2 linked regions of the Oreochromis niloticus genome follow. The protein of the gene in region 2 purifies or fractionates together with the protein of the main gene of each other region. This does not show direct contact. Links are inferred from orthologs where the notes say so. Each region holds a gene or a part of one and is shown on either strand. Other genes may lie near its edges. The genes, in order: protein S100-A10 and pla2g4ab.

Region 1 (9,920 bases), on a different chromosome or scaffold from region 2:
AATTGCAAATTCTTCAAAACATACTTAACTAGAAGTACATGGTTAGATTTAACCATTGCCTAATGTTTGCAGTTTGCATGTATGCACCTTTGCATGTATAAACCTTTAGGTCATAGGCTCTTTATTTTGGTAACCTGTTTTGGTGTCAAGTTCTTTCAGTTCAACTGGCTCAAAGCACCCTCCGTGTGTCTATCAATAAAAGAACAGAAGAAAAGTGAAGCGGCAGAATCAGCTTATAAAATACACAGCACCAACAACAACACCAACAACACTAAAACCACTGACAGGTGAAATGTATGGACCCTGTCTTTTCAATGTAACGCTCTACCCCCTGTTCTGCCTTCACTCCCTGAAGGCAGCATCTCAGAATAATGATCCCTGCCTCTGTAAAAACTAAATCAGAGCAGTTGCAGGAGCACAGCAAAGAGGTCACACATACCCAGACTCCAAACCCAGATTGCAATTTGAACAAGCTTGATTCATCGAAGCCCAGCCCTGCTGTGGATACTTCGTGTCCTGTGGGCTGCTGGGCTGGGCTTCGATGAATCAAGCAGGACACAAAGTTTCCTCTCCCAAACACGCAGGTCCAATGGGACAGAGCTGTACTGGCAGCTTGAGTAGGACCTACAAAATAATAAGCAGGTGATATTAATGTTGTGGATAAAGTGCCAAGTATAGTGGAATTTAAATGTCTATTGGTTTCTAACGCTCACATTTGAACACTGGGGGTAAAAAAAACATTCAACTAAATGTAACTGTGAATTGAATCAGTATCAGGATCACAATAGTTATTTCCCATGGCAACATCTGCTTGCAAACTGGACGTTGGGGATGGTTGGTATGTTTGGGACATTAATGTTATTGTTTAACAAGTTTCCACAGTGAGGGGCTTTTTTTGGTGTGTCCAAGATGGGCGTGGCATGCCACAGTGAATATTTGGTAATCCCCAAACTCACACCACAGAACGCCCCCGCCAGGAATGACTTGAGCAACTTTAAAACCAAAAAGTACGCAGGATTATTTCAGTGAGAAAAATGTTGTGACAAATGTCATTATTACTATATTAGAAAGTCTGTTAGAAAACTAGACATGCCACGTACAGTGGTGTCACCGATCAGTGTCTGGTAACTTGCCTCAAGCTCGAAGAGTAATTCATCTAGACAAATGATGATTTTCTTTTCTTTTAGGCAACATGATAAACATATAGCCTGCAGGAGGCACTAAATACAAGGAAATGCACTGAAAAAGCAGCAGTCTTGGAATCTAAGCTGTGGGTCACATGGGCGGGGTGCTTCTGTAAACCAAGTGGTGCAAACTCTAGCTACACACACACAGACACACACACACACTTAAGAGTCATCACAGAGTCACATAGCAACTTCAGTGTTTTCCCAGTAACCATGAACACTGACAAACCAGTAGTTAAGCCCTGCCCAAAGCGGTGTTTGCCAAGAGCTCAAGAAGACCTCTTCCTCCTGGGTTTAGCCTTTCAGGCAGGCTTTTCTCAGGCAGTAAAAACTTTGATGACTTCACTGGGATCGGCAGACCATCATAGTAAACAGTGGCTCCCAGTCTATCTGCACATCTATCAATAACAGATTTGATTGCTGGAGCATGCGTGAGAGGTAGGGCTGCCTGGAAGACTTCGTTTTAGAGCAAAGATATTTGTTCTGTTCAGTAAGAATAATGAGAGACGGGTGGTGAAGGGGTTATCCTGTTCCCCTCTCTCTTTCTCTGGTGTTATTCAACTTTCACCAGACATGAAACACAGTGGGATTTTTGTGATCTGCACAAGAACAGTGATGTGCTGTTCTTGTGAGTCAGTTGAGGGCTTGCAAGATACAAATCAAACTGACTAGGCAATGTTATCACCTGTTTTATTCATAGAGTTGCAACATCCTCTGAGAGTTTATGCCTCACTGAGAGAGGTGTGTTCATGCCTACAACATTCAGCAGATTCCTCAGAGCAGTGATAAAGCAGGGACTTTGTCAGGGAGGGAGTGGCTCATCTGCCCTTTAACACTCGGGGAAACATAAAGTACTCACTCAGTTACAATGCCAACAGAGAAAGCTGTCTGGATTAAGCTTTACCAGCTTCTCAAATGGAAATGGTGCTGGTGCTTGCTTACAAAAACACATGTATAAAAAGTTGAAGATTTATAGGCAAATCTGTCTAACTTAAAGATTACATAGCTAGGAAACACAAGACACAAGAGGTTTAAAAGGATTCAGCACTTTTAATGAACAAAACTTTACAAAAAAAAAAAAGCAATGCTTTTTGGTCTATTCTCTTCCACTGTTGTACTTCCTACTTCTTTCCAGTCTTCTTCATTTCCAGCTGATAGCACTGCTCACAGGCAACAGACAGTCCAACAACCAGAGAAACAAACTCCTCAAAGTTCACAAGACCATCACCGTTGGCATCCAAGTCTTTCATGATCTTGTCCACAGCAGCAGGATCTTTTTGACACTGTGTTTAAAAAAAGGGTGTGTGAGGATACATCAGCAACAGTGAGGTTGCACACGAGGTGGCATAGTGTTGGATTACAGTGTGTAAATAATGCGCAGCGTGATTGTACAATTTACGTTTTGGTCTCATCTCACCTTAAGGAAGCTGGAAAGCTCAGCCTCCATTAGCTGTCTGAGGTTTTGCCGGGTGAGCGAACCATTCTTGGCGTAACGGTGGAACACCTTGATGAGTCCTTCCATGCAGTTTTCCAGTTCTGAAGGCATGGTTGCTGGAATGTGTTTAGACTGAAAAACAATGTTCAGATACAGCAGAAAATGTTGACTATGACAAGTGATAGCAATCCAGTTTAACTTCAGCTGACATTTTCCAAACAAGTCCTTAGAAAGCATTTATGAAAGCTGCTTTGGCTGTGACGCTGTTAAACTCGTCCATTATTGATGGAGCTGACACATTTGGGTCTTTGTTGTACTTCCCACTGATGAGTGATGCTCGTGGGACGACAGTAAAGGTATGTCATTGAAATTTTAGTAAACCACTGTGCAAAATACAGAAAATCTCAACATTTGAATTACTGTCTTTGTAGCTGTAAGAGTTAAAAGAAAGGAGAAGTGGGAGGGAGGGTGTGTTATTTGTGTGCAAGAGAATGGAAAATGTGAACAACTTGAACTGAAAAATGTGAGACCCAAAATGGTGGGATTCAATGTGAGTAATGAGATAGGACACTGGAGGAACAAGCACATGTGTGTACATGCCCACACCCAACCCAACCACCCAACCACACCCTTACAAAGGCTTATATCGACTATATGGAGACCTAGTTAACTGTCTTAAATGTGAATCAGAGCTTAATGTAAAAATGTTAATTATATATTTTATTAATAAAAGTAATTAGAACATTGGAAAAACAATTAAAGTGTAATTAATGTGAAAGATTGAAAACAAGAGAAAGAAACACAATAAACTAACTAAAAGTTGCAGCCTAACTTAGTTACAGCAGAGGAAATACACAGATCCGTTAGAAACCGTTAGAAATTCACAAAGAGGGAGCTTCAGTAAATACAAAGCAGTGACTGGGAGCGGATTAAAGTAGGTTAGACAATATGAAACACTATTCTCACACCCAGAGGGTCCTAGCTGTATGTCTGTATGTTTGAGCAACTAAAGTTTATATTAAAAAAAAAAACTCGTGGCAAAGCCACACCTGTAGGACAAGAGCAGAAAGTTTCTTACCGTACAGTTGCTGGGACGTGGTCAGCAGAAGAGGTGCGAATGTTCAGACGTCTGCAACAAGCAACAGAGATTTTATAGTCAGGCGCCGCCCTGGCTGTGCGCACTGACTCACACTGTGGCTGTGCAGACGCTGGACTCTCTGAACAGTTAATACACTGGAGTAATAGGAGAGTAAATATATCAGTACGACTTTAGCTTAAGTTTAGTCATCTGAATTAAAAACAAGGAAAAAGTTAGTATTGTTGCTGATAGAAGAGCTAAAAGCCGTTTTTGTGGAATTTAAGATAAATTTTCATCAAAGTTTAGGCTACCGGTTTAACAGACCCCCCGCCCCTCTCCACCGCCCACCTCCCACACACGCACTACTTTTCTGTGTTAATCTCCATAATAAACACACCTTAGGTTTAAAGGATTTTTAAAAACTATTTACTGTAATTTCGTAGGCTGGAAAATCTGTAATTTACCTGTTAGACTTACTGATACCTAAAGGAGTATTCATACGACAGCTAAAGGCCCGAGATTTTCTGTCTGGTATTGTGAGACAAAATACAGAGAACAACAACAACAACAACAACAACAACAACAAATAGCAACTAAAGAACAGGATTTTTGATAAGCACAGGAAAACATACACATCAGCAGAAGAGCCAATCAGCAGCATTCTGCTGAGTACAAGCTCAATTCTGTAAACTATCGCTATCATTCACAACAGAGGCAATCCAGCCAGTGTGGTTTCAAGGACTGTTTTGTCTCATATTATCTGCATTTATATTCCTATCATAAGGTGAACCTTTACTCCTATTATCCTGAAATGCTTTTTATATCAAAGATGGACGACAGATAGCTGGATGGATACAGTGCGCCACATTGTGGTGAAAACAGGGTATTACAAATGGTACGCTTTGGACCCAGTGTTAAAGCTGTGTCTGAATAACAAACCGATCCGTTTGTATCTCATTTTATTAACAAAGGAGAAAAAAAAACATAATTTAACATGAAAATCACCAAAATACTTTATTGCAATGTTTCCTGCACTCAACTTTTTGTTATTTTAACCTATTTGATCTCGCTATGTATTAATGTTAGGTTTCATGTTAATCTCATAGCTGATCAAAGTGGAAGTGCTTTTTACTTTATTAGCCTAATCCTGTAATCCTAATCTGTTGTCCCATATAAAGGACAGTAGAAAAATGTGTAAAAACAGACATACACAGTGCTTAACAAGAAAACTAAAATATTGTAAACCTGTTTAAAAAGTTTATTAAGCAAATAACAAACTGAATATCTATCTATTTTTTTTAACCCAAATTTCTGCCAGCACACTTTTAACCTCTACTACCTTTTTTAACCTCTACCTTACTATTTTTCTTGCTGTTATCCTTAAATATATCATTTTAACTGAAAGACCTACAAATACAGTACTTGACTAACTCTCTTTTTCTAATAACTCGTCAGTCCAGATTTCCAGTTTTGTTTCTTGGTTAAACCAGTTCTCTTCTTATTATCAGACTCCATTAGTAGTGATTTCTTGAAGCAGTTTTCTGAAAAGGTGATCTTTTGCAGGGAGGGTTCGAAGAACCGTAAACACATTATGGCAGAAAAATGACTATATCAATTATTGGTGTATAGAGTGGAAGAGTGCAGGGAAGATATGGACAGAGACAGACGATCCAAAGAATGATCCTATGATAAGGGTTTGAAATAAATACTTCATTTCATCTGAAAAAGTTGAAACCAGGACAAACAGTAACAAGTTTCACACAGATTTGTTGCCAAAAAAACATAACCAGCAACTGAGTACACCACGCACGTTTCCATCCTGCACTTACCTAAGTCCTTGTGCTTTACTTGGCTTCCATATAATAATAATTATATTACTGTCAATAATAATAATTCTATTAATAATTAACCACTTATCCAGGTCAGTGTTGTGGTTAGTCTGGAGCCGAGTTTTTACTGGGTGAAAGGCAAGGTACACCCTGGACAGGCTGCTAGTCTAACACAGGTTAATGTAATAAAATTATTAAAGTGACATTACACAAGATGTCATTTTGTTTATTTTGGATACTTCAAATACATTTTGTTGGTGCTACAGGAATGTGGGACTTATATTTAAGCTATATATTTAAATTAAGGCCATAGTTCTTCTTAAGAAAGGCTTGAGTAATTCCTGGCAAACATCAAAATCGTTGTCATTAGTCTTCTAATTCTCACAAGTGTGTACTGAAAAACCTGACAAACCAGGTCTCCACATACCCGTCGTAGGAAGAACTTTACATCAATATTTGCACTGTGTCTACAGCCATAAAATATGGTGGTGGCTCTGTCATGGTCTGGGGCTGCATTTCAGCCTCTGGTGTTGGGGCTTCTTAAAAGTGATAGATGTACAAATACAATATAAAAAATAAAATTAAATCATTGGCCCTCATAAGCACGAAGCAATAATAAAATAAGTAGTGTACTAAAATACAACTGAAATATAAAAAATAGAATATTTATTCAAATAATGAATGATTAAGAACATATGCTTGGTCTAACTGAATGTATACCATTCAATTAAACTACACAGTTTACCCTGAAAACAAACGTTTTTGGAAACAAATGCATTTCCAAAAACTGGATTACTATCAGTTATCGACTGGCCTCAGCCCCCAGACCTGTACCTTATTGAAGCAGCTTTGGATCATCTTTACAGAGCAATAGGCAGCCAACATTCAAAGAATAGCTTTGAATGTCCTTCCAGAAGCCTAGAGAACTAAAGACTATGTAAATTACAAGAAAGCTTGTATTTTGTTGAATGTCGTGTCAAATAGTATTTTTGGATAGAAGGAAACCATTCAGAAACAGGTCAAGTCAGGAATTCAGAGGCTTATCTACTTCTTAGTTAAAAAAAAAAAAAAAAAGGTAGTAAACTTTATGGCTTTAAAAACAATCTGGGTGGATTTTATCATCCAGCAGTTTCAGTGGTTTACATATTTCACATTCCTATAGTCCTGAAAGGATTACCTATAATCAGAGATGGGCAGTAACGCGTTACAGTAACATGTTACAAGTAACGCGTTTATTTATTTTCTGCTGTTTTACACTTGCATCTATTTGAAAGAGTGGGTGTAAACACAAAACATTTTATTTTATATGCTGGAATATGCAGAAAATAGGTTTAAATGTTAAACAGATTTCTTAAGGTCAAAGACTGTTGCATATAATTTAATTTTTGCTTGATGCAATGTGCATGAAGTTATGATTAAAATTCATTTGATTACATTTTATATGATGGACTATGCAGAAAAAGTAGAATTGGACTAAAAGATCTATTGCTTTATTACCTTTTCAGGTTGTGTATCATGTTTTGAAAGATTAATTACTTATTTTCAAAAGTAATCAGTAAAGTGACAGGATTACTTTAAAGTAATAATTAGTAACTTGAACACTACCGCCAATAGGCATAGTTTTCTAACAGTAGATGGCAGCATTACCTGAAGGAGGTACAGTGGACACAAACATCAGTGTTATATTCTTAAGCCCATGTGAGAATAGGGGGCAATATGGGTATATCCTAACATGGAACAACTAGTTCAGAGGTGTGAATAGGCAACTAGCAAACATTTCTATCCATCCCTAAGACAAATCAAGTTAAAGAAAAAACAAACGCAGTCTTTGACAGACTTTGTTTTGATGTGAATCCAGGTAAGGCCTATATTGGGTTTCTTTCCACATCAGCAGTGCTTTACTTTGGGAAGCCTTTTGAATCCAGTTCTTTCACGACCTTTTGGAGGGCGTCATGGCTTGCACAGGCGCAACCAGCAACCAGTGAGGCGAACTCTTCAAAGTCCACACGTTTATCATCATTGTGGTCGACACACTTGAAGAGCTCATCTTCATTTTTTCCCTGCAAAGGTGAAACAAACATTTAATAACTTTGAAAATAAGAGCCTGTGAATGTAAAGCATTTACCATTTCTCTACTTAACATTACAGGTGTTTAAGTTTTGAGCCAGTCGTTTATGTTCATTTCATTAAAACAAAACACAAGAAAAGGGCCGAGTTTAATAATACTTTGTTCTTTTAATTAATTAATTTAAAAAAAAAAAATGTATCTCTTGGTTCATGCTTTTAGTCAGGCTGTTATGAGAAATTTGCAAACTCAACAGATTTGTGAGGCTAGTTGATTTTAATGCTAAGCTGTGCCTTAAACATTTACATTGCACTTTAGTGACATCGAGACACACATTTAAGGTTACTGTGATCATTTGCAGTGATTTACTACAGTGTTTTCCCTTACCTCACCAAGTACGGGTAGTTCATCCTTCACTAGTTTTAGAAATTGTTCTTTGGTCAGTTTTTTGTCATCTCCTTGGTAGGACATGTAGACACTGAACATTGCAGCCAATGCCATTTCCAGTCTTGTTGGGTCTGACATTTTTGCAGCGCTGTACAAGAATCTGGACAAGAAATAAAATGGATCATGAAATATTATTTGGCATGCATCGGCAGAGGGACAGAAATGTAGATGGACTGCACTTACAATAAGTCTTTACTTTTTAAAAATGTGATTCTTAACTAAAAGTTTTACATACCTTTCAAAAGGAAGAGCAGCTTCACTGAAACAAAATACATGCAGTTAGAGTAGAACCAAAACCCAGCCAGTTTAACATAATTACAGATGAATCTTCAACCACAAGACAAAATTTGTCTAGTTTCTCTCTAAACAATAAAAGTCACAGAAAAGTCTGCTCCTACCTGGATTCAACGGAGTCAACGGAGTGAAGAGAAAACCACCTCCATAGGGTTCAACAGGGTATTTGTGACACTCACATTGGCTGTTTTCAAGATTCCTGTTTAGCAAGTTTGTTTGCTTTTTTTTTTTTATTTTAACTGCTTCCATCCTGGAGGCCCTCGCACACAGGCAAATTCAATAGGTCACCTTCTACTGCAATCACTAAAATAGGTATAGCTTTCTTATACTTGATTTCTGTTGCAGGACTGGTAGCTTCACTTTTAGAACTGGTTTACTTATAGTGTGCCTACTTATTGTGGTATGGTTGACTTTCCTTTTTGACCAGGTGTGGGTAATAATGGTCTTTCTTTATTGCAGTTATAATTCTTCCCCTGGCCTGGTGTTGATCAGCACACTTGCACAGTTCAATAAAAGATCTGACGAAAGACGAAAAGAAACACTTTCTGATTGCTAGATACAGCTTGAAGTAAAGCGGCTGTTTTGTAATAAAAACAGATTGACCAAGTCAAACGCAGGTGAGGGATGTATATCTCATGTTCATTGTTTAAACAGGAATTTTAATATGAGGGAGTAGTGTACACACCCAACAGAGAGCTGGTTAGGTCTTATTGAACACAGCTGTCAGGAAACTTTCCACCTGTGGAAGAAACACTGAGACATGTGAATAGCTACGGCGGTCTTTTTGAAGAACAAATCAGTTGTTGCTCATTGCATTTTAAATCCAAATAAGTTTTCTAGTAAATTAAAATCCTTTGAGCACCAAAACCAGCATGCACTGCAGAAGACCTCTGTTTATCCGTTTATTTATTTTCAACCAGAAAATTGATTCTTTTGAAAAGAATACAATAGAATAGAAAAGGCTTTTATTGCCATTGTACTTGCAAAGCAAAATTGTGGAATTAGGCTGAATACAGTGTGTGCTGTGACAGCATACTCCAACCTGCCTTCATTTCTTTTGATCCCAATCAGCCACACTGGCAACACCTGGGCCCAGTGTGCCAGTGCTCTGCAAACACTGCATACTGCACTTCTTCATTCGTGCACTCACTCACGCCACTGACAGTACTGACTACACACCCTGACTTCACATGTAAGTTTCTTAGTAGAAGTTCATTATTTCTGTACTGTAAATTAAAGCAGTATCATGGCTGCACAGCTCAGTTGACTACAACTGACATCAGTTTCCTTTAAATTATGAATTTAAGTTCTGCTAATAATACTGAATATGATGTCAAAATATAATGATGGAAACTACAATCAGTTTTATTTCATACATGTGTAGTTTTGCTTGAGCAAAGGAGTTGAATACCTCCATGGCAGACAATAAACATAAAATGATCAGTCCCCGTAAATGATTTAAAGGATTTTTTTTCTCAAGTGTTTACCAAGTGCTTTTGAACAGAGGAAAGGATTTTTGATATACATTTCTAAACATGCTATTTTTCTTAAAAATTTTCTACTTGCACACAAAACAGAATAAGAA
Region 2 (10,280 bases):
ACGGTATATGCAGATTGCCTTCACAAACATGGGTCGCACTAAGGACCTCACCGAATTCGAGTGTGATGCTGTAACAGCATCACACAGTTTCAACTGTAAACGGTGTTATTAGAAAGTAGAACCATTTAGAAACCACGGAAACTCAGCCTTCAAGTGGCAGACCGCATAAAGTCACCGGCCAGCGCTGAGGTGCAAGAAGTCTTTAAAAGTCACCTCATGGCAGGATTTTCCATTAGTCATGGATGTAAATATGTAGGCCGCTTGTGTAGCTTACCCCAAACTAACACTTGAGTCATTCAAAGACTAGTTTTTTGGATGATGTTAACATATCACCTCATAGCGAGCTACAAGTGTTGGGCTGTGTTTATGTGGGATTGCGCTCCATGACATTACTTCTTGTCATCCTGTGCTGCGCTCTGTTACAGTAAATGCAGGTCTAACCTCCAGAACGTTGTGCTGGTTGGGGTCTAAAATGAAATGAAAGGTCTCGTTCCATTTTGGGTTGATGTCGTTGTCTATGTGCTTGGTCCTCTTTCTGCTTTCAGGGGCCGTCGGGATGAAAAGCTCCACATATGGGTCTGGAGTGTCCACTGGGCGCACAAACAAGTTCAACAGGGTTACTACACAGCTGAAAACCAAACTCAAAATAACCATCATCAAGTGCTTTTGTATTTCTTTTACTGTAAATTTACATGGATTACATTCCAACAATATGAAGTAAAAGCATGGTAATATGTTACTGTAAGGAAAAAATTATATAAGCACTTACGCAGGTCGCCCAGCGCTCCCTTGGTGACGTTCTGAGCTCGAACTACAGTCACTGTGAATTTGTGAGAAAACTGCTGCTCCACCTGCAATTTGGACATTCAGAGTTCAGCCTCACTTCATTGCTTCATGAGAAAAAAATCACATCAACCATGTTGAGAGCAAAAAATGAACACATCCAGAACATGAGAACATCTGGGTTTTTTGGCAGGTCGACACAGAGTGCCATTCCCCTGTGAAACTCTCCAGTTAAGGATACGCTTCCCAGCTGTGTTCACACTGTGCTACGACAGCTTTCTCCTTATATTTTGACAGTACTGCAAAATTTGTAGCCCTTTCCCAAATACTGTGACTCTAATAAATACTGTAGATGAGCATTTAATGGGACCGTACTGTAAACCCTTTATATATTTTACAGCAACCCTTTCACCTCAGTTACCCTTGTGCTACATTGTCGTATCCCTGAAAGTTTGGTAGCACACTGAAATGAAAGTTAAAGTATTGGACACTGTTCAAATACGACTACTTGAAGGTCCCAACAGTGTTCCCTTTGTCATTTCTAGATATTAGATCTCTCCAATCTCACAGAACAGATGTTGTTTTGAATTTCTGCGTGTTGCAGTGCAGTTTGATATTGTGACTATTTAAGATTCCTCTTTCTGGCAGCCTTTTACACACTCTTAAATTATTTTTAAAAACCCAAAAGACGAATAGTTTCAACGACGATTTGCAGATCTGTAAAACAGGAAGTGCTGTGAGACTTTTTTGCAGCTCCCCTCTCGCCCCTTCTTGTTAAAAGGCCGCTTGTTCAGTTTTTCCTCTACAACGCTGTGAGCTTAATTATTTTATGATTTATGATTATGGTACTAAATAAATGAAATTTAACTGGAATTACGTGATAAAAACTCAGACGTCACACTGATCAAACAATATGCATATTTTTCTTTTAAAACAACCCTTTCAACCTTGACTTCCACCAACATGGAAATGAAAATGGCCTTGACGTTGACACGCTCATTGTTGCGCTTACACCCAAGGCTGTGGCTTGCGATAAGAGGGAATTTTTTTAATACCAGTAAACTAAGAACTTCCACAGAATTATTTGTGTCACGGTTGATGCCAAAGAAACCGTCCACTTTTGTTTTGGCCTCAGTTTTATTTACAGTCATGTAAACACACACTGTGTCGACACTCACAATTATATTGGAAGCCATTGTCATGTGAGGTGAGCAACTCGCAGGGAAGCCTTCGTCAAGATGTGAACTTTAGGTCAAGAGAACATATCTGTCACAAACTGCAGCACCGAGAGCCTGAAATATGAAACAAAGAAGTGCAAACAAAGGGTTAGAGTTTGAACGGGCTGAAAAAAGAATATTATGTTACTATTAAAACTGTGATGCAAACGACAACAAAATACTAACATCATTACCGCGATTTACAGCTTTAGTTTTAGCCAGAGTTGCAGCAAATGGACATATTACAATATCTCTTGAAAGGATGCCTTTCCTAAACAAAACACTTTTTTTATAGTGCATTGGAATTTTTAAAAATAAGTCGCTTCGCAAATACCAGTGAAGTCTTTTACATCTTGGCAGGGGTAAAAGGAAGTGTGCTGAGCCACAAAATCCCGATAAGAGGACTGGGCCAATAGAAATGGGGTGTGTGTGTGTGTGTGTGTGTGTGTGTGTGTGTGTGTTCACCACAAGCATGTGTTAAGAGAGCGAGAGAAAATATGCCAGTAAAGGGAGGAGGGTCTTCCCTGAATAAATGCAACATGCTGGACGACAAAATGTAAAGCTTAGTGCGCATTTGCAGAATAGGTGGCAAGGTGGCTATTTTTAGCAACGCGAACGCCTTCTCTTTGTGATGTCTGAACACCATATCGTGATAAGAAATTTGCATAGATATGTGTATGTCTATGTGTGTGAGTGCGAGTGTAAAAGTGATAGCATATGAAGGTCACCAGCCTTTTCTCTGCTGCTCACCAAAGTGTGTAATTACTGAGAGGACTGAGAGCACGTAGAGCGTCTGTGTGTTCACAGAAGCGGTCACGTACTTTGCATCAGTGGTCCAACTTCGGACGGTGCCAGTTCACTCTGCCCTTGTTCCGCTGCTGCATACAATGGGCGCATGCAGGCTACAGAGCCCTGCAAGTGTGCCAGCTTCAGCAAAGCGCCGCGTGGCAGCAAATTTTCATATGAGGATGCAGAACGCGAAAGAGACTTGCAGCGACGGTCTATAATGCAAAACAGCTGCCGCAGCTGTGGCTTTCACCGGAGCACAGTCAGGCTCCTCCTGGGCGAGTGTGCTCCCACCTGAGCCACACAAGGAGCAGGTCGGAAGACTCACTTCAGTGAATCACTGTGCGTGTCTCCAGAGAAAGATTACGCCGAGGAGTCATTGCAATTTAATTCTTATACGGATTAGAGGCTTCACGCAAAACTTAGCATTAGGCACTGCTAAGAGGCTTTACATTATTCTTATTAGCCCGGCAGATTAAGGGCAGATCAAACAAGGATTGATGATGTTATGAGTGCGCTACATGCGATGCTGAGTAATGTTAGTCCTTCTAAGGCAGTAAAGATGTGGTGGATACTATGAATTTGCATTTATATAAACATGACACATGATATAAAATATCTATGAAGGTAGAATAAACATAATAATAATTCGCAAAAGTTCCGTTTTATTCAGTTTTACTTGTGTATCCCTGCAGTGATCGGTCCTATTTAAACTGGCCTGTGAGTTTCCTTGTCTTCGGCGTCGCGTAAAATTTAAGCCTTGGCTGTTTAACCCATTAGGAGCAAAGGCGCAGACCTCCTCCTTTAAACTGCGCCCAAACCCGTTTGAAAAAACACATCAATGTGCCTAAAAAGGAAAGGAAATATCCACGTACCTTAACAGGCGCATGCTATCAACTCACAAATCCAGAAAAATGTCTCATGTCGATAACACCAATAGCTCGGGAGGTGGAGAGGAGGCGCTACCGTACCCGGCAGTGAGCAGTATCGTAGCTTATTACGTTTGCATCGAGAGAAAAAAACAAAACTACCGGAAGACAATAAAAATATAGCGGGGTTTAAATGCTGGTTTTAAAAAAAGATGGTCAAGATTCTTTTAATAGGAAATTTCCGAGTAGCAGTCAGACTGACTCCGATTTTGAGACTTGATCCAAATATGCACGATCATCAACCGCAAGGTGGCATCTGTGGTTGAAAAAGTTTCTGAATGAAATGAACGTTTAAACGGAGGTGCCATGCGACTTTTTACTGGTTTAGGTGATGATTCATTTAATTCAGTGAAATTCAATGAAAAAAAAAAGAGTTTTATATGTTCACTTTTATTAAACATCTCCGGGAAAGATTCTCAAACTTGTATTTTTTTTAATATCAATCAAAGAGTACTCGAGTATTTTTACTTATCATTTCTCCATGTTTGTTCATACGATTTGTAGAGGCTAAAGATATCAAAAAAACCCCAAGCGTGTCGTGGTAATACGTTATATAAACCAGTAAATATTATTAGACTTTAATTAAAATCACAGCGTGGCGTTTTAATGGCGACAAAAAAACCCCAAAAGACGCATACAATTAGTTAATTTACCTGCTGTAGCACTGAAGGAGTGAGGATAGAAAATAAATATTCCGTAGATAAGAAAACTTGTTTCTTCCAAAAATGATTTCCGGTATTTCCTCAAAAAAAATAAAAAATAAAAAAATAAATAAAGTAAAATAAAAGGATTGCCTACATTTAAACTGTTGTAAGTTACTTGTTGTCCTATAACAGACGTCAAACTTAACTCTCTTGAAAGATATAAAGTTATTTTGACGCAAAAAGGAATGTTCTGCATTCACTTTTTAGCAAAGTGGTTTTTATATATCCGTCTTTGATCCGGCTAAAAGTCTCATTGTCATTAAAAATGTCTTTTAAAGAGTGATGTGGCCAAGAGTGCATCAGAAATTACAACACGTATCACATATTGGTTCTATAAAGATATTTTAAGTGGACAAAAAGGAATGAAACGATTATAGTGTGGGTACAGTAACCCAGAGTCATAAAGACACTCGCAAAACAGGTGATTTATGTATTTTATATACAGCCCCTTCATAAACCCTGCTCACTAATATAAGCAAACACATTAATATAATAAAATAAACCAAAAAATCACTTTTGTCACAGTTTGTGGGTGGGGTGGTAGGAGGAGCACCGTGTTATAAAAGCCTCATCCTGGCTGTGGACATTCAAAATTTCACCATCGTCGCGCGCGAGTGGGAGAGCAGACATGAAACAAAAGCGGAGTCTTCGGAGCATGAACAAACTCACTTTGCTGTTTTTCCTGTTGGCCCTGTGCTTTCTTGTCGGCGAAACTGGTAAGCTGAGGAAACTGCAGATTATTTCTTACAGTTTTTCCATTTTATTTTATTGATACAGCCCAAATCACAGCAACAGTTTAGAAGTCGTGATTTCTTTCTATTAGTATTATTGTCATGCCAAATAAGATCTTCTTCTTATTCTTCTTGAGAACTGAATAATTATTTTTTTATTAAACAGATAGTAAGTGTCCAACCTTATCTGTTACAGTTAACCCATGTTGCTCAGAGCCATGCCAGAACAGGGGTGTCTGCTCACCACTGGGCTCAGAAGAATACGAGTGTGACTGCACACGCACGGGGTACTATGGGCAAAACTGCACAACACGTAAGTGTGAACATCGCGCTTGGAGTGAAACAAAAATGAAGGTGCATTTCTGGTGGTGACTTGATGGCTTGATTCACGTGCTCTCTTTGTCCCTTACAGCTGAATTCTTCACCTGGATCAAAGTGTCTCTGAAGCCAACACCCAACACAGTCCACTACATCCTGACCCACTTCAAGGGTTTCTGGAACATCGTCAACAGCATCTCATTCCTCAGGGATGTCATCATGAGATATGTGCTGACATGTAAGTCTCTCTCTGCCCGAAGGCAAAAATGAAAAAAGTGGACTGGAAAGTTTTTCACAGTACATTAAACAATTTACGCAGCAACTTGTTGTAGTGTTTATACTAAATGAAGGACTAATATGGGTTTTCCTTTCTCTAGCCCGATCCCACTTGATTGACAGTCCTCCAACTTATAATGCTGATTACGGCTATAAGAGCTGGGAAGCCTACTCCAACCTTTCCTACTATACACGCTCCCTCCCCCCTGTGCCGCAGGATTGCCCAACCCCTATGGGAGTAGTAGGTGAGTACACTGTCTACCTTTGGAAAACCAGTTTTCTGAGATTCTTAAGATACTGAACAAAACCGTCTTTGTCGAATTACATCATAGGAAGCGCGCAAATTGGAATTAGTTTTCCTCTTAGATGAGGCAACACAGAAAAACCTCCCCCTACAAGCCCAAACCAAAGAGATCAAGTTATTTTTTGCGTCAGAAGTATGAAACAGACCCAAAGAGCTGTGATTTTCCTATCATTGTGTTATGTGCTCAGTGAAGTCTTCTTATTCTTCCAGGCAAAAAGGAGCTACCTGATGTTAAAGTTCTGGCTGAGAAGCTCTTAATGAGGAGACAGTTTATACCAGACCCGCAGGGCACCAGTTTGATGTTTGCCTTCTTCGCACAGCACTTCACCCACCAGTTCTTCAAATCTGACATGAAGAGAGGGCCTGCTTTCACTGTTGCTAAGGGTCATGGGGTAAGTGGAGCGGGTCTGAAGATCTCGGTTTTTGAAAAGCAAACTCATTTTAATGCGACGCAGTTTTTAATTGGCGTGTCTTACACTTTCAGGTGGACCTCAACCACATCTACGGTGACAACCTGGAGAAGCAGCACAAGCTGAGACTCTTTAAGGATGGCAAGCTGAAATATCAGGTATGGGGGAAAAAGATAGCTGTACTCGAGGCGTCAAAGAGACCAGCTCACGTGCGTTTCTCACAGCGGTTTCCTCTTTTGTGTAACCCTGCAGATGCTTGATGGAGAGATGTACCCCCCGACAGTTAAGGAAGTGGGTGTCGAGATGCATTACCCCCCTCACGTCCCAGATTCTCACCGCTTCGCTGTCGGCCACGAGGCATTCGGCCTGGTCCCTGGTCTGATGATGTACGCCACCATCTGGCTCCGCGAACACAACCGTGTGTGCGATGTGCTGAAAGAGGTCCACCCATACTGGGATGACGAAAGACTCTTCCAGACCGCACGGCTCATCCTAATCGGTAAGTTAAAAGAAGTCCAGATACCAGCTGTAACGTAGTTGGAAATTTTTTATTAAAAAGCTAATAATAATATCGTTAGCAGGGGATTTTTCTTTAAAAAAAGGAAGTTTTACTTCTTAGTTTTCACCTCCTAATGACCCTGTTGCACACAGTGGAGCATTTCATTTCAGGAACCTGATTTACTGAAAGACTTGAGAATTTCTTGTCAACATCAGAAAGAGGAAATGTGTTTTACTATCCACTTTGTGCTTACCCAACCTACAGACATGCAAATCAATCAATCAATAAGCACGATTTATTTTAAAGCACAGAGTGGCTTTTAGCATTTAGAGTGTCTTCATTGTATAAACCGTCACATTTCTCATCTGGCAGGTGAGACCATCAAAATCGTGATTGAGGACTACGTGCAGCATCTCAGTGGCTATCACTTCAAACTGAAGTTTGACCCTGAGCTGCTCTTTAACCAGCGCTTCCAGTACCAGAACCGCATTGCATCCGAGTTCAACACCCTTTATCACTGGCACCCTCTGATGCCTGATAGTTTCCACATTGAGGAGACAGATTACAGCTACAAGCAGTTTGTCTTCAACACCTCTGTCGTGACTGAGCACGGCATCAGCAACCTGGTGGAGTCGTTCACCAATCAGATTGCCGGACGGGTAAGAACTCTTTAAGCTCCCGCAGCAGCAGTTAGACTGAAACATACAAGACCAGCGTTGCTTTAGGGATGCAGAATTGAAATTTCATTTGTGCTTCTTTGTAATTTAGGTTGCTGGTGGTCGAAATGTCCCCGGACCCATCTTGTATGTGGCCATTAAGTCCATAGAGAACAGCAGACAAATGCGTTACCAGTCCCTTAACGCCTACAGGAAACGATTCTCCATGAAGCCCTACACGTCTTTCGAAGACCTGACAGGTGAGACAAATTCAGCACTTCTTGAAAATACCTGTATGCTGAAAATGTGTCAAAAACAGGTTGTTGTAATTGCTGTCTCAGGCCTAGCTATTGCTAGATTAATATCTTTGCAGCGCGATGATTCTTATTATCATAAAGTGTGACTGAAAAACCCGTAGGCTGCAGAATACAGTTTATGCAATAGTTTACCTGATATTGAGGAAATGCCTCAGAGTCCCTAAGCAGTTGCTGGCAGTTTTGAAGGTTAGGTATTTATTTCCATGACTCTGAAAACCAGATGGTCATTTCATCTTAAGGTAGAGTAAGCAGACTGTCATCACTGCAGGCGAGATATAAACAGACACGGGGAGTCCCTCTACTTTAAAGAGGAAGATTTAAACTTTTCAAGAGGTGAATGTCGATTGAAAACTAACTTTGACTTGCTGTATAAGTGAAGAAAAAAATGGCTTGCATGCCAGTGGAAAGATAAAAATCAGGAAGTAAAGGCATATGAAATCTGTCAGTGACCGAGCCAGTGGGGAGGACGCCAGATTGTGTTACTGACCAAAACCGTTTCCTTGTTTGTGTTATTCAGGGGAGAAAGAAATGGCTGCGGTGCTGGAGGAGCTGTACGGGGACGTCGATGCTGTGGAGCTCTACCCGGGCCTGCTGGTGGAGAAGCCCAGACCTAACGGCATCTTTGGGGAAACAATGGTGGAGATGGGGGCTCCTTTCTCCCTCAAGGGCCTAATGGGAAATCCCATCTGCTCCCCGGAGTACTGGAAGCCCAGCACCTTCGGAGGCACAGTCGGCTTCGACATGGTCAACACCGCCTCGCTCCAGAAGCTGGTGTGCAATAACGTGCAGGGTCCCTGCCCCGTGGCGTCCTTTCATGTGCCTGACGTTAAAGAGACCGGGCCCATGATCATCAACTCAAGCACGTCGCAGTCGAGGGGCAGCGACATCAACCCCACCATCATTTTGAAAGAAAGGACTACTGAGCTCTAATTTTATTTAAGCGTGTTGTTGTTATTGTTTTTTAAAAAAACAAACAAAAGATTTATTTATTTATTTATTTGTGTATTTATTTTATATATTTATACAGTAAAATAAAACCAGAACAAGTGGAACACATTTTTATATGTGTATTTGTAAGTTTAATTGAAATTAGAGTCAGTAATTGTTTGTATTTATTTTGTACACTGTCTTCTTATACTGATAACCTCAGCCACTGCAACTTAATACTTGAAAGTTAGTTTACACTTTCATTAAAACAGTAAGTTACTGTTAAATGTTTCCTTGGATTACCTGCTGCCTCTCCATTTATGTTCCCATAGTTGTATTCCAGTAATAAACAGTGAGCGTTTTAAAGGGCAGTGCTCGGGTGCAGCAGTGACAAAGACTGATTGTGACTATCTTCAGTTCACATTGTTTTAGTGATTTCATTTCAACTTCATATTACTCAGAGTAATATGAACTGACAACACGTGTATGTTGAATCCGCTCTATTTTTTTATTTGTATTTTTTTAGGAACGAACAAATATTCTGTCACTTGATTGTACAGGTGCGCGCCTGTGGTCTTCAGAGTATTAAACTGAATAAATGATGAAAGTCATACTTCAGAAATCAACTGTGTGTGTTGCTGTTTTCATGATGTCACTTTGTGTTCTTGTATAAACTCCGAACTGGCTGTGACAGCAGGATAAGATGCTGTTATCTGAACGTAAAGCGCACAGTTATCAGTTCACATGCCACGACTGAAATGCAAATGGCTGTAACTCGGAGAAGTTCTTTGTACACACACACTCACTCAGGGTTGGGTTGGACCTTCCTTCCTTCCTACACGTTGCAAAACTAACAAATGTGCTCAATGGCTGGAGACCTATTGACATTTAAATTATGCTCTGTTGGTGTTAACGGGACCAAACTGTGTCAAGAAAACATCCCCCACATCATTACGCTGCCACCATTAGCCCGAACTGTTGATAGAGGACAGGTTCTCTGCTGGACTGAGACCGGATCACTGATAAATCACACAAATATATAAACAGAGAACAAAACTCTGAGATAATCAACTCACAAAAACAACCAAGATGCAGGGACCACAGCGTAATGTAATTACTGAAACTGTCCGGTATAATAGTCGTTGCAAGAATGTAAGAAACTGATTTACTGATTTACTGATAGCAATTTACTGATTGCTAAATAATTTCCCCCAGGGATCAATAAAGTATTCTGATTCTGATTCTGATTCTGATACAGGATACATTCCTGTAAATCAGCCGGACACAGAGGTAAAAAGATCCCTGTTTCTGAATAAACTAGAAAGGATAAAGTTTAGGTGTCAAAAACAGTCGCCTCAAGGTGCTTTATATTGTAAGGTAGATCCTACAATAATACATACAGAGAAAACCCAACAATCATATG

Evidence for each region.
Region 1: the proteins of pla2g4ab (region 2) and protein S100-A10 purify together in Homo sapiens (affinity purification with western blotting; 3 studies listed by BioGRID). This does not show direct contact. The link is inferred for Oreochromis niloticus from reciprocal best matches to the Homo sapiens genes PLA2G4A and S100A10.

The regions. Positions count from the first base shown.
Region 1 is NC_031985.2:17,137,328-17,147,247, forward strand, and holds protein S100-A10, read right to left. Parts: upstream 3,854-9,920; 5' UTR 3,701-3,853; intron 2,755-3,700; 5' UTR 2,734-2,754; coding exon 2,605-2,733; intron 2,471-2,604; coding exon 2,309-2,470; 3' UTR 2,218-2,308; downstream 1-2,217. UniProt on the Homo sapiens protein: Because S100A10 induces the dimerization of ANXA2/p36, it may function as a regulator of protein phosphorylation in that the ANXA2 monomer is the preferred target (in vitro) of tyrosine-specific kinase.
Region 2 is NC_031981.2:2,444,863-2,455,142, reverse strand, and holds the start of pla2g4ab (cytosolic phospholipase A2), read right to left. Parts: upstream 3,956-10,280; 5' UTR 3,662-3,955; intron 2,301-3,661; exon of another isoform or gene 2,187-2,300; intron 2,076-2,186; 5' UTR 1,986-2,075; coding exon 1,962-1,985; intron 852-1,961; coding exon 770-851; intron 591-769; coding exon 442-590; intron 1-441. Other genes in the region: ptgs2b (prostaglandin G/H synthase 2), read left to right, coding at 5,048-5,135, 5,347-5,463, 5,563-5,706, 5,846-5,989, 6,259-6,440, 6,533-6,616, 6,711-6,957, 7,330-7,616 and 2 more. UniProt on the Homo sapiens protein: Has primarily calcium-dependent phospholipase and lysophospholipase activities, with a major role in membrane lipid remodeling and biosynthesis of lipid mediators of the inflammatory response.